3 linked regions of the Saccharomyces cerevisiae S288C genome follow. Changing the gene in region 3 together with the main gene of any one other region gives a genetic interaction. Each region holds a gene or a part of one and is shown on either strand. Other genes may lie near its edges.

Evidence for each region.
Region 1: mutations in HSH49 (region 3) and YLF2 together harm fitness more than expected from each alone (negative genetic interaction), as found in Saccharomyces cerevisiae (one large-scale study listed by BioGRID).
Region 2: mutations in HSH49 (region 3) and ZNF1 together harm fitness more than expected from each alone (negative genetic interaction), as found in Saccharomyces cerevisiae (one large-scale study listed by BioGRID).

The regions. Positions count from the first base shown.
Region 1 is NC_001140.6:74,845-78,920, reverse strand, and holds YLF2 (Ylf2p), read left to right. Parts: upstream 1-1,606; coding exon 1,607-2,824; downstream 2,825-4,076. Other genes in the region: deubiquitinase OTU2, read left to right, coding at 568-1,491; 40S ribosomal protein uS10 RPS20, read right to left, coding at 3,144-3,509. UniProt on the Saccharomyces cerevisiae protein: Hydrolyzes ATP, and can also hydrolyze GTP with lower efficiency. Has lower affinity for GTP.
Region 2 is NC_001138.5:26,656-30,881, reverse strand, and holds ZNF1 (DNA-binding domain containing protein), read right to left. Parts: upstream 2,651-4,226; coding exon 1,253-2,650; downstream 1-1,252. Other genes in the region: YFL051C (uncharacterized protein), read left to right, coding at 342-824. UniProt on the Saccharomyces cerevisiae protein: Transcription factor that regulates respiratory growth and plays a critical role in stress adaptation during non-fermentative growth.
Region 3 is NC_001147.6:909,726-913,963, reverse strand, and holds HSH49 (U2 snRNP complex subunit HSH49), read right to left. Parts: upstream 1,143-4,238; coding exon 501-1,142; downstream 1-500. Other genes in the region: GNT1 (glucose N-acetyltransferase), read left to right, coding at 1-345; long-chain fatty acid-CoA ligase FAA1, read right to left, coding at 2,519-4,238. UniProt on the Saccharomyces cerevisiae protein: Possible SF3b-like factor.

The DNA.
Region 1 (4,076 bases), on a different chromosome or scaffold from region 3:
TATGTAGAACAGTGAAATATTTTTCCTTTTTTTTTTTATTATCAAGAATCACTTGTGTCAGTTATCGTTAAATTCCAGGTTACAAAAAGATTGTAAATGCCAGGGAAAATACAATTCAAAAAAGTTACAGTATAGTTATATTTAATTACTTAAATTTACTTTTTTTACTATAAGGTGCTATTCCTGCATTCTTTTTTTAATTAATCAGGACTTATAAGCTGATAGTACTTTCATTCTTTTTTTTTTGTGTGATAAGGCCATTGAACATTATGGAAGACTAACTACTTTTTCTTCAAGAAAATTGTGTGCTTCTACTCTCGTTCAATACAGGAAATTTTAATTCCAACAGAGTGGAAATTTATGGTTTTCTTACCACAATAAATTTCTCAATTGTTAAAATCTGAAAAGTTGGCAGCCCTGGCCCTGTCAAAGAAAGTATTATTATGCGTCGCGAAATTTCTTTTTCTTCACGCCTTGTTTTTAGTTTGGGCATCTCGAAAGCATCTAATACAAAATCCAACTAAAGCACAGCATTCAATCTAGTAGAGAGAACAAGAGATATTCATCATGACCGGCATGGAATCAGGAGAGAATTTGGAAAACATGGAAGATATTTTGGCGAGACATCGCAAGGAAAATAAAGATTTACAGAATAAGATAACGGGTATGAAAAAGCAGGCTACTAAATCCAAAAGGAAAGAAGTTAATTCGAAATGCCTAGATCTTCAAGATAAACTAAAGACTAAGCAAGAAAATGAAATAAGGGATTGGAAAATTGCAAATAATGAAGTGTTTGACGCAGAACAAGAAGATGAAGTGACTCCTGAAAAACTTTTAGAACAACTATCCATATCTCGAGATGAGAAAGAACAACAGAATGTTCCCGTTCAACAACAGCAACAAGGCCAGACAAAGAAGCGTCGCAATAGACAAAAGGAAAGATTGGCCAAAAGAGATGCAGCAATTGCTAAAATGAAAGAAGAGGCTGCTTTAGAAGCATCCAAACAACCGGACTTGAAAAAAATGGAGCAGGAGTCTATAGATCAGTTATGCGAGTTGAAGAAACTGAAACAATTCGATATACAACCCGATGGCCACTGTCTCTTTGCATCTATATTAGATCAGTTAAAATTACGCCATGATCCAAAAAAACTGGATCAAGACATGGATGTCATGAAGCTGAGATGGTTGAGTTGTAATTACGTACAGGAGCACAGGGATGATTTCATTCCATATTTGTTTGATGAAGAAACTATGAAGATGAAAGACATTGATGAGTATACGAAAGAGATGGAGCATACAGCTCAATGGGGTGGTGAAATTGAGATTTTGGCTCTCTCTCACGTTTTCGACTGCCCCATTAGCATTCTGATGAGTGGAAGACCTATTCAAGTGTACAATGAATGTGGGAAAAATCCTGAATTGAAGCTAGTTTACTATAAACACAGCTATGCATTAGGTGAGCATTATAATTCATTGCATGATTCTTGATTTTTCCCATCCGTATCTAATGAGATATGCTTATTTGTAAACCTTAATGCATCTATTTAATTGTATAGTTTGAAGCATATGGATATAAAAGAATAAAGAGAAGTAATAATCGGATATGAACATTGGTGGAGGAAAATTTTTACTTGGGAGGATATCGAATAATCCAACTTCAGGGATAGTAGGGCTTGCTAATGTTGGTAAATCGACTTTTTTCCAAGCAATAACAAACTCAAAATTGGGAAATCCTGCAAATTATCCATTCGCTACCATTGACGCAGAATGTGCCAAAGTCAATATACCTAGCGTGCCGCTCTCTAATTTATTGAGAATATATCAGAGTGCGAAATGCGTACCTGGAACACTCACAATATATGATATTGCTGGGCTCACCAGAGGCGCATCTCAAGGCCATGGTTTGGGTAACAAGTTCTTAAACGATATCAGACACGTAGAGGGGATATTTCAAGTGGTGAGAGGATTCTTAAAGGAAGACATCACCCATATAGAAGGTAATGTTGATCCTGTCAGAGATCTATCCGTGGTACAAGATGAACTCATCTTGAAAGACTTAGAATTTCTGGAAAACATTAGGGAAAGACTTAGTAAGAAGATGAGAATGGTTTCGAAGAATTCTAAAGAACATCAGGAAATGAAGATAGAGACAGAATTATTAGATGCATTAGAGGAACATTTGTTTAACGGTAAAAAAATCCGGCATTTCAAAGATCATTGGAACCTGGATGAAGTCAAAATTTTGAATAAGCATAACTTTTTAACCTCCAAACCAACTTTGATATTGCTAAATGTTTCACCTCAAGATTACGTTAGGAATGAAAATAAATTTGTCAGAAATATTATAGAATGGATTAACGAATTTTCGCCAGGAGATAAATTCCTACTTTTCAGTGCAGAATTTGAATCGCAATTGATGGAATGTAAAGGCATAGCGTCAGAGTATTTTGACAAGATCAAGGAAGATACCAATGTTTCTGATCAACAGTTAGTTTCTGCGATACCGCAAATAATACTAGAAATGAGAAAGTTGTTGAACTTAATTAGCTTCTTTACATGCGGCCCACAAGAAGTTCACCAATGGAATATAAGGGAGGGAACCACCGCTCAAGAGGCCGCGGGTGTAATCCATAGCGACTTGCGTGAAACATTTATCAGCGCTGATGTAATAAAATATGACGATCTGAAGAAGATGGAACCACCGCTAAATGAGTCTTTACTAAAATCTAAGGGACTTATCAAACGTGCAGGCAAACAATATATTATGCAGGACAATGACATTGCCTTATTCAAAGCCGCCGGTGGGAAAATTAAGAAATAGTTTGTCATAAAAAATACTTGTAAATATGAATAGAAACGCTTGCTTTGTTTTGTCTTTTCCAATAATTACACAAGAATCAACAAAAGTATGAGATATATATATATATATATATATATATATTATATTTGCATAAGGTTTAACCACTGATAGTAAGACAGAGGTATATCGAGGAACTGTGTTTACCTAGAGTGGGCTGATTCTAATAGTGCAGCTATATGCGAAAATGAGAAAAAAGGAACCGCTGAATTCAATAATATATTTTGGTTAATGGACGAGAAAAAGAGGAATCTAATGGAAATTATTTCCAGTTAGAACCAGCTTAGTTGGAAGCAACAACAACTTCGACATCCACACCAGGTTCAATGGTGATTTGAGTGATTCTCTTAACGATTTGAACAGGAGCTTCCAAGTCGATGTATCTCTTGTGGATTCTCATTTCGTAGGTTTCCCAAGTCTTAGAACCTTCACCATTTGGAGTCTTTCTGGTGGAGATCTTCAAAACCTTGGTTGGTAGTCTGACTGGACCCTTCTTGACCAAGTTGTGTTGTTCAGCGTTCTTGACAATGTTGGAAGAGACGTTTTCCAATTGCTTAACCTTGGTGGAGGTCAAAGTGATTCTAATCTTGATGATTTGTTGTTGTTGTTGTTCTTGTTCTTCAACCTTTTCCTTTTGAAAGTCAGACATTTTGTATATACCTTTTTGTTTATTTTACTTGCTTTCTTGTAGGAGTTTCAATCTAAAGCTGAGCTTGAATGAAATAACCCATCTTTACTATTATTTTGAATTCAATACGGTCTATTACTCAATCTCTGAGGCTAGTCGCGAATGCGTCGAAGTTTTTTTTTCAAAATTAAAACATTATCGTTACCCGAACTTTATCTTCATAAAAATAGTTGTGGCATTTTTTCTCTTATGTTTACGGATGTAGAAAATGTACAGGTGTGAACTTGCAGGTAAACATTTTTACATTTTTACTTTTATCTTTTCCCCTTCTATAGAGATAAAAATAAGAAGTTTCAGGGAAATCTCTCTTTCCATAGTAAATAGTGTTAGCAGCAGACAAGACAAGAAGGATATCAATGACGATACGCATTTTTCCGAATGATCTGGTCAGATAATTCTTTTTTTCCCTTTATCGGGAGGTTTTGATGAGAAAACGATGTCAATAGTATTCTAGTCACAATAGGGAGCTAGACGGCTATTCAATCAGAATGCGACTATCCGGAGTTATCCTCAATGATAGACGTTTCT
Region 2 (4,226 bases), on a different chromosome or scaffold from region 3:
GAAGCACTATCAGGTTTTTTAACGTACGTGAGTTGTTTTTTGTTTCTAATTTTTGGCTTGCCTGGGATAAACGGTGCCCATCAAATTATTAAGACCTGGTGAAAAGAGCGTACCTACATGGGTATCGGGGTTTTTGCCAGAAAGAGCTTTAACTGCAATTGATGCCTACCGGAGATTATTTTGATATCAAAATGCAGGAACGATATCTACTTCCCTAAAGCAGAAAACAAAACATTTTTTTAAAAGTCTTTCTTATATAAAGGTAACCTTCATTTCATGATAGCCAGATGATAATCTTAATGTAACAATTGGAGGATACCAGCATCCCTCCACACCTTCAAATGTCTATACCCCATTCCGTATTTTCGGCACTCTTGGTCTTCGTGGCGCTAGCTACTACAACCTTAGCCAGTACAGAAGCTTGCTTACCAACAAACAAAAGGGAAGATGGTATGAATATTAATTTTTATGAGTACACAATAGGCGACCAAACCACATACTTGGAGCCTGAATATATGGGCTATGAATACTCCAATACAAAGAAGTTAGGTTCCGTTAGCGGACAGACCAATCTCTCCATATACTATAGTCCGCCTTGTGAGAGCACTCCTACCTGTGTGACTTATGCAGTTTTGAAGCGTGATGAGGATGGATATGATCCTTGCGGACCTCTTTATGAAACTAAAAAACGTGACACTGAATACTGTGACCCAAATACTGCCTATTGGAGTTCTGATCTTTTTGGTTTCTATACTACTCCAACTAATGTAACTGTGGAAATGACAGGGTACTTAATATGGAGTATGGGCAACCGACGCCGTTGAACCTCTCCTTGGAGATTCTGATAATTTTATGACCATGACTTCTCGTGCACCTTACAGGAAACTTTAATGGCCTGATAAGTACAGCTATATTGTGATCACAATTATTAAAAACTAACTCATTTCATCTATAACCAAGTACAAATCGCACGACTATCATGACGATAAAAGCGTATATCCTTGATTTAATTCACATCACAATCACCCCCCTTGAAAAAAAAATAAATTTTTTTTCTTGCTATAATAGCATAATTGTCCACAAGTTCACTATTAGTGCTATCATTCTTCCCCACTGCCGCAAAATTGCAAAGGAAATAATTGTTTGCCCTGCAGGAACCATATACTAAAGAAGAAATAGATGCTATTAGCCTCTTCAACTGTCCGTAATCACTACATCTTGAAAGGTAAAATGCAAGTAGCAATGTGTTTACTTAAGGAAGCGCATCTACATCTTCTTTAGAACCATCTGTCGATTCAAGCGGATTAGAAAGAGGAAGCGTGATAAGCGCACACTGACACTTTGTCGTAAACTTATCAACTAATGTGCTATCACAATGCTTAAGAGAGAAGACAAATTTGGATATATCGAACAAAAAATTCCAAGCCTCCGACTCTGCATTTTGATCGTACTGATTCACAACATCTACCAATGCGTCGGCTATTTCTAGTGCTTTCACTGATATCCCTGGACCGTGAACTGCATAAAGATTTTTTGGGATTAAAAATGTGTCTTCTAACATGTCTCTAGCAATTTCTACTGGAATATGCGTATTCTTGCTATTTGAAAGGAAACTGATTCGCATACCGCTTATTTGAAGCACTAGCTTCCAAGCAAGTGTTCTAATCCAATGCCGTGAAAAAGATATGTCTACATAGCCGTAAGACCATGGTTCTATCTCAAGTGGCACCGTATGAAGTTCCCTCCATATCTTTTTAAGGGAGTCTTCAGTACAGGTTACATTAGCAGAGTCGGTAGCTAGAGCATCAAAGAAGCATTTTCCCGGTACAGTAAATACCCTAATCATCTCCAAGAAGCTGTCGAGAGATAGTCGGGGGTCCGTTACGTTCTCCGGTTGTGGTGGAGCAATCGTGGTATCCAGGCTCGTGGCGCAATGCGTATACACAGAAAAGTATCTTTCCGTTAAGAGAAGCAAATAATAAACTTTCCTTCCAAGCTGCTGCTCATCGAAAGGAAGAAGTTTCAAAGTTTCCTCGCGATGGAACCCCGCCAACTTAATGAGCCCCACGGCTTCACAAGAAAGCCGATACGAAGTTCTTGAGTTGGACATCTGTGCGTAGCAGCGGTTTAGACAATAGTACGTCATAATCTTGAATATATCACTACCGTTAAAATCGTCAAATTCTTGGCGTGATGACATGCAGAAACTGGATAACTGTATCCCAGTAAAGGTAACCCCTCCTTCCGACTCAATTTCAGTCTGCAAATCGCTAAGCGTGGCGGCAGAAAGAGATACCAGGAACCAATACACACAGGTTTCGTCATATCTTTTCTCTAAAAGTTCGTAAAGATCATCATAACACAGCAAAGGCCAGATCACATACAACTTATCATTATAGAGCCGCAGACACTGATCAATTAGTGCCTTTGGAACCTTCATTATGCCACCACTACTACTTTTACTAAATACCTGTACATCATCTACTTTCTTTAAATTTCTCACCTTGACGGGTTTTGGACCTCTTTTCTTCAAAGGTCGAAGATATGTACATTGCAGATTGTGTTGAAGACAACATTTACATGGTTTTTTACGATCACACTTTACTCGACGAATGCAACAACAGTCGCACGCTTGTCTATTGCGGGCCATCTTCGAACTAGAGCTCTTTTACTTTAGCTCTTTTGACAAGACAATGAAGCATTTCTTGAAGGTTTTCTTCTTTTCTCCGTATTTAAGTCAACAAGATATAGCTAATTTATTAAGCCGGGGGTGGGGAAAAACGCGGTAGTAACGTGGGGTACTTTAAAGTGGGGGAGATGGCACAGACAAAGCCGCAGGTACCTCGAGAACTCAGGGGAAAAAGGAACGCAGTTCAATAAGCTACCGATTTGGCAGATCTCAGGAGTAAAAATATAAATCTTAGTGCACATACAAGTGATAACTGCAACTCCAGATTTTTCTTTCGGTCGATTCGTTGATGCAACAATGTCGAAATTATAGTTAGGCGTTTGTTCCTGTAATTTAACTTCAAGTGGAGGAGTCAATGTTCTTTCCTATGTTCTATTTGTGGGATAGAAAAGTTAAAAAGAAGGTTTTTGAGTATCCCAGTGATAGTGCAGTACTACTTCTGTGTATTCCCGATTATTACAACGGCGGAGTTTTTTTCGCATAAACTCAGACTACTAAGTAACTCTCGAGCATCGTGAAGATCCTGATACTTTATCTATGCATTACGTACGGAACGGAGTGAGGCCTTTCTCCAGAAAAATCGTTGAGATGGCATGTAGGTTCTAGATTTGTGACGACACTCAACAAGAAAAGTTTGAGGTGAATATCTTACCCGCGACATCTGGAGCGAGAAGAAAGCCGTAATCGATAACGTATTCTCTCAATGCTGTGGCGTTTCAGTAGTATTTTGTTATTACCGACGAAAACGGTTCCTCAAGAAATAAAATATATCTAGAGGTAAGTTGCAAAACGCTAGACTATTTATGGCAAGATTAGTATTTGCTGTCGTGATATCATAAGTAGAGACACATGTTCAGCTTCTCACTTGAATTTAGGTTAGAACAAAATCTTTAAACAGCAGTTACAATGAATGTTTGGGAGACCTAGTCAGTCTCCATACTGCCAAGAAAAAGGTTAGTCGAACTGGAAAAACAAGGCTGTACTGCACCCTAATGTTTCTTAGTAAGCAATTCGCTATCGACGCCGAATACCATGAACATCAACCTTGTGAAAGCTTTCGCATATTGGCGCTCAAGAGATATAGACGGTACTAGTGAAAGAGAGACAAGGCCGCCGGATTACTTGCTCTCGTCATTGTAATTGTTCAATTTCACAGACATTTCTCTGGCATGTATCCATTGGGGCACCACAATAAGGGAATATTTTACAATATCGTAAGCTGTTCGTAATACGCGGCTTCTCTTTACTCAAAGCCCAATGAATCCTGGCTTCGAAAATCATACAAACTGTGAAATCTACTTATTTGAAATGACAAACACTGCTTCCCAGTCTGGAGGCTCTCTTTGAGGATAACTAACATGTATGGCTAAAAATAGTTAAAATAATTGAGACGACATTGCACTTGCTATAATCAGACTTCAATAACATATGCATACAAGAAACTTCTCTTTTGAAATAGGAGCGGGGCTCCATCACAAAGAGATTGAAATTTGATACTAGCTCTAAAATCGAGGCAGGGATGTTCCAATGATCGAGT
Region 3 (4,238 bases):
GAAGTATTGGTTTTGCCATTTGCAAGGTACGGCTTACTGACGGGTTCATTGAGAAACCCACGGCACTATTCTATAATCTATAATGACGTTTTGGGTTATAAGACATTGGATAATGATGGCAACGATATTCCGGTAGGATTAAACGACAGTGTCGCATATTCTAAGTACATACATTTTTCGGATTATCCATTGGCCAAGCCCTGGAATTATCCATCAATGAAGGAGTTTGAATGTATCGTTAAAGAAGAAGACGCGGAGGATTCAAAGCTAGAGCACCAAGCTTGTGACCTTTGGAACTCGGTGTACGCTTCTTACATACAGTCCAGGGAAATCTGCCTCGTTTGATTATGAGGAGAAGTGAAAATTTTCAAAAAGTGTAAAAATTAGTATAGTCGGAAACGCATATATATATATCATAGTATTGATAATGTTTCTGCCAAGATTGTGTCCGTTATCGCATTTTCTAACGGGTAAGGTATGTACTAGGTGAGAGCGGGATCTTATTTCAACATGTTGTGCTTTAATGCTTCTTTATTCAACAGCCTGTCAACGTCATCACCGTATTTTGCGTTACCTTTTCCATTTTCTTTGAAGGCATAATCAACAGTAATTCTGTTGTTGGCGACTAACTGATTGTTCAAAGATTTTATTGCCAAATCTGCTTTTTCAAAGTCCTCAAAATAAACATAAGCACACTTTAATTTTCCGTTTGATAGGTAGAAAATTTCGGGTTCCCTTATGAGCTTACCAAATTTATTGAAAATTTTCACTAATTGGTCGCTATCTATCGAATCTGCAAGGTTTTTTATGAACAACTTAGCAATAGGTAGAATCATGTCCTTAGAAATATTTGAAGGTAAATTAGTTGTTCCTGTAGAATTGGTTACTTGACGAACCTTTATCAGTCGGTCGTATAATCTAACGGTATTATTCATTATTTTTATTGCATATTGAGCATCTCCTTGATTATAAAATTCGATGAATGCGTAGCCTTGGTAAGCTTGTAGAACTTTATCTTTCGGATACTTAATCCTTAAAACAGGGTTGATCTGAATGAAGAGTTCATAAAGTTGTTCTTTCGTTATCCTTGGATCTATATTCCCCACATAAACTGTATTACCAGAGTCTGCGCTGTAGTTCATCAATGTTAATCTTAGAATGATTGCGCTGTTCTTGGCTAGCTATTTTGCCCATTCATTTTTACCTCATCTCGGTAATTTCTGCTTGAAGAGTCGTTTTAGCTTTACTATCCATTTCCGTCTTATATCCACATCTGCGGGTAACAAATAAATAAATAAGGCCATCTGACAATTCAAGGCAGGGTAACGAGTGGGATTTTGTTCTCTTTGTTAAATCTGGATTAGAAAAATAAACGCCGAATAAATCTTCTGGAAATGTGAAAATTTCAACAACGCCAAGAATAAATCCCCTCGTTTTGAAAGAAAAGCCAGTAAATAGAAGTGGGAAAACGGCGTTAATGAGGAATTTGTTGGATTTTCAACTAAAAGAAATACTCATTTCATCAGCATGTGTATGAACGTCACAATTTTCATAATTTTATTGAATGGGCAGGCAAATTATTCCAAGTAAATAAATGGCGTAGTCCCTGAGTCCTCGATATTACTGTCTATTAGACTATGGTTAATCCAACGGGAATATATTTCATCACATGATAGCGTACTGCTGCAAATTGATTAGTAAATTAGTTCCCATCTGCCAGACACAATGTGTCAACTTCGCGTGCTCGTAAAAAAGTACTAACAACGGAACACCTCAACAATCTTGATACTTAGTACTCTTACTACGTCATTTCTTTGTCCTAGTAAATTTGTTGAGAAAATTTACATAATCTGAGGAACTACAATTTCTAATCTCCAGGCACACCCACCACGTGCCTGTTGGCTGACCGAGACAAAAGTGGAGAAGACAGGCACGCAGAAACGAACGTTTTGCAAGGAATGGATATGCTTCTGGAGCTTCTTCTTCCAGTCTATGCGAGATTGAATGAGAGCGGCTGGTTGCTATGGTTTGTCTTCCATGATGTGTACGAAGCTGTGAAAATGAGTACTAAGGAGTCAGTGCACACCAGGGTAATCAATTTCCCTGATATTTTGTCAACTCAACAAATGAGACAGGGTCCATCTCAGATCAGGACACCTCTGGTAATGCTTCTTATGTGAGGTGTCTTGGCCGAAATTTATATATATATATATATGTATCACTAAGCTCCTAATTAGACTGCCATGCGGCAGTCAACGTTACCTTTTTTGAAATGTAGAAAAATTTAGTTATTTTTTAGGATGTTCATAAATATATCTATATATGCCATTTTTAACATTATAAATTACGAACATACGTGAATGAGGTGATATGACTGGTAAAGAAGAAAAAAGGATAATAACAAACCAAACAAGATAACCTGTGCATTCTATTTTATAATTGGTAGCAGTTCTAAAGCAAAAAACTGAAAAAGTGCTTTAGTATGATGAGGCTTTCCTATCATGGAAATGTTGATCCATTAAGACGAACTATAAACGGCGTCAACTTTATCTTTGACAGCATTCAAAATGTCTTTTCTTTTCAATTTCTGAGCGGACGTAACAAAACCGTTTTGTGGAGTCCATTCGCCGTCAAAGAACACTATGCCTGCTAGTAATTCAATGCCAACCAAACCTTGGTCTTTACCTGTCTTCAAAAGATCAGAATAAACAGCTTTAATCAATTTTGCATCCTCCAAATAATTTTCGATATTAATTGAACTGTCTTTTTGTTCCATAATTCCCAACTTTTTAGCAAGCTTCGTTAATGGAGCATGATTTGGTACAATAATACCAACTGGCTTAGTCTTAGATTGGTCGGCATAAACACAAATGTTAGCAACATATTCGTTAGATCTGTAAACGGACTCTAATTTCTCGAGTGCGATATATTCACCGTTCATTGTTTTGACCAAGTTTTTCTTCCTGTCAATTATTTTCAAATGGCCATTTGCTTCCCATTCACCGATGTCACCGGTCTTGAACCAACCATCGCTTGTTAAAGCTTGAGAAGTTTCTTCCTCATTCTTATAATATTCAGGCGTGACATTGGCACCTGTGATCCAAACTTCACCTTGGTTGTTTTTAGCAAAATAACCTAATTCTTCAACATCAACTAGTTTGACGGTAACACAACCTGTTAGGTCACCAGCGACGCCGAGTTCAAAATTAGCAGGATCCAAGATGGTGGTACTAGCGCATGTCTCGGTTAAACCGTAACCAATAAGCATAGGGCAGATTAAATTTGTGATGAATTCCTGAGCATCCCGACTGATTGGAGAACCACCGTTTAACAAATATCTTAATTGGCCACCTGTGGCAGTTCTGATTTTTTTGAAAACCAAGTTTCCTAAGGCGCCGCCACCAGGGATGTGGAGACGTTGCATGTTCAACTTGGTATTATACGCGGTCCAGAAGATTTTCTTGGTGAGGAAGGGCAAATTATCAATTTGGTTTAAGATCCCTTTTCTCACTGTTTCCCAAACAGCGGCGACACCAACCATGATTGTGGGCTTGAATTCTTGCAAATCACCTTGACAATTTCTCACAGAGCTGCTAGTTAAAGTTTTTACGGTGGCATAACCAATGCAGGCCCCCCAATAAAAGGACAATAGTTCGAAAACCAATTCAAAAATATGAGCTAGTGGCAAAAAACAGATAACACGGTCGGTATTGCCCACAAACTTCAAAACATTCAAACTTGCACCACCAACACCTGCGACAACATTTGAATGTTTCAAGACAACACCCTTTGGCTCACCTGTAGAACCAGACGTATACATGATGCAACAAAGATCATCCTTGCCAGGTGGATGAACATCGATTTCGTTACAGGATTCTTTACCTAGCTTCAAGATGTCGTCAAAGCTAAAGGTCTTGATATCAGGTCTAACTTCTTTAATTCTGTTGATGGCATCATGAGCAGATTGATAGATCTTACCACTTTGCCTCCTGTCCTCAGAACTGATGGAATCGAAATGAATTATGTATTTTACGTCTTGAGCGGCTTGCACTGGTTTGATCAAGGATGGTAATAAAGAGTTATCGGTAAAAATGGCCTTAGACCCCGTTTGCACCAAAGAATGAATTAGCCCTTTCTCTCCCAAAGTATCGTAGGCAGTGACGACAGGAATACCTTGAGACTGCGCTCCTAAGAACATCTTCATCCACTTGTGAGAAGTGGCTGCGTAAAGATGTAAT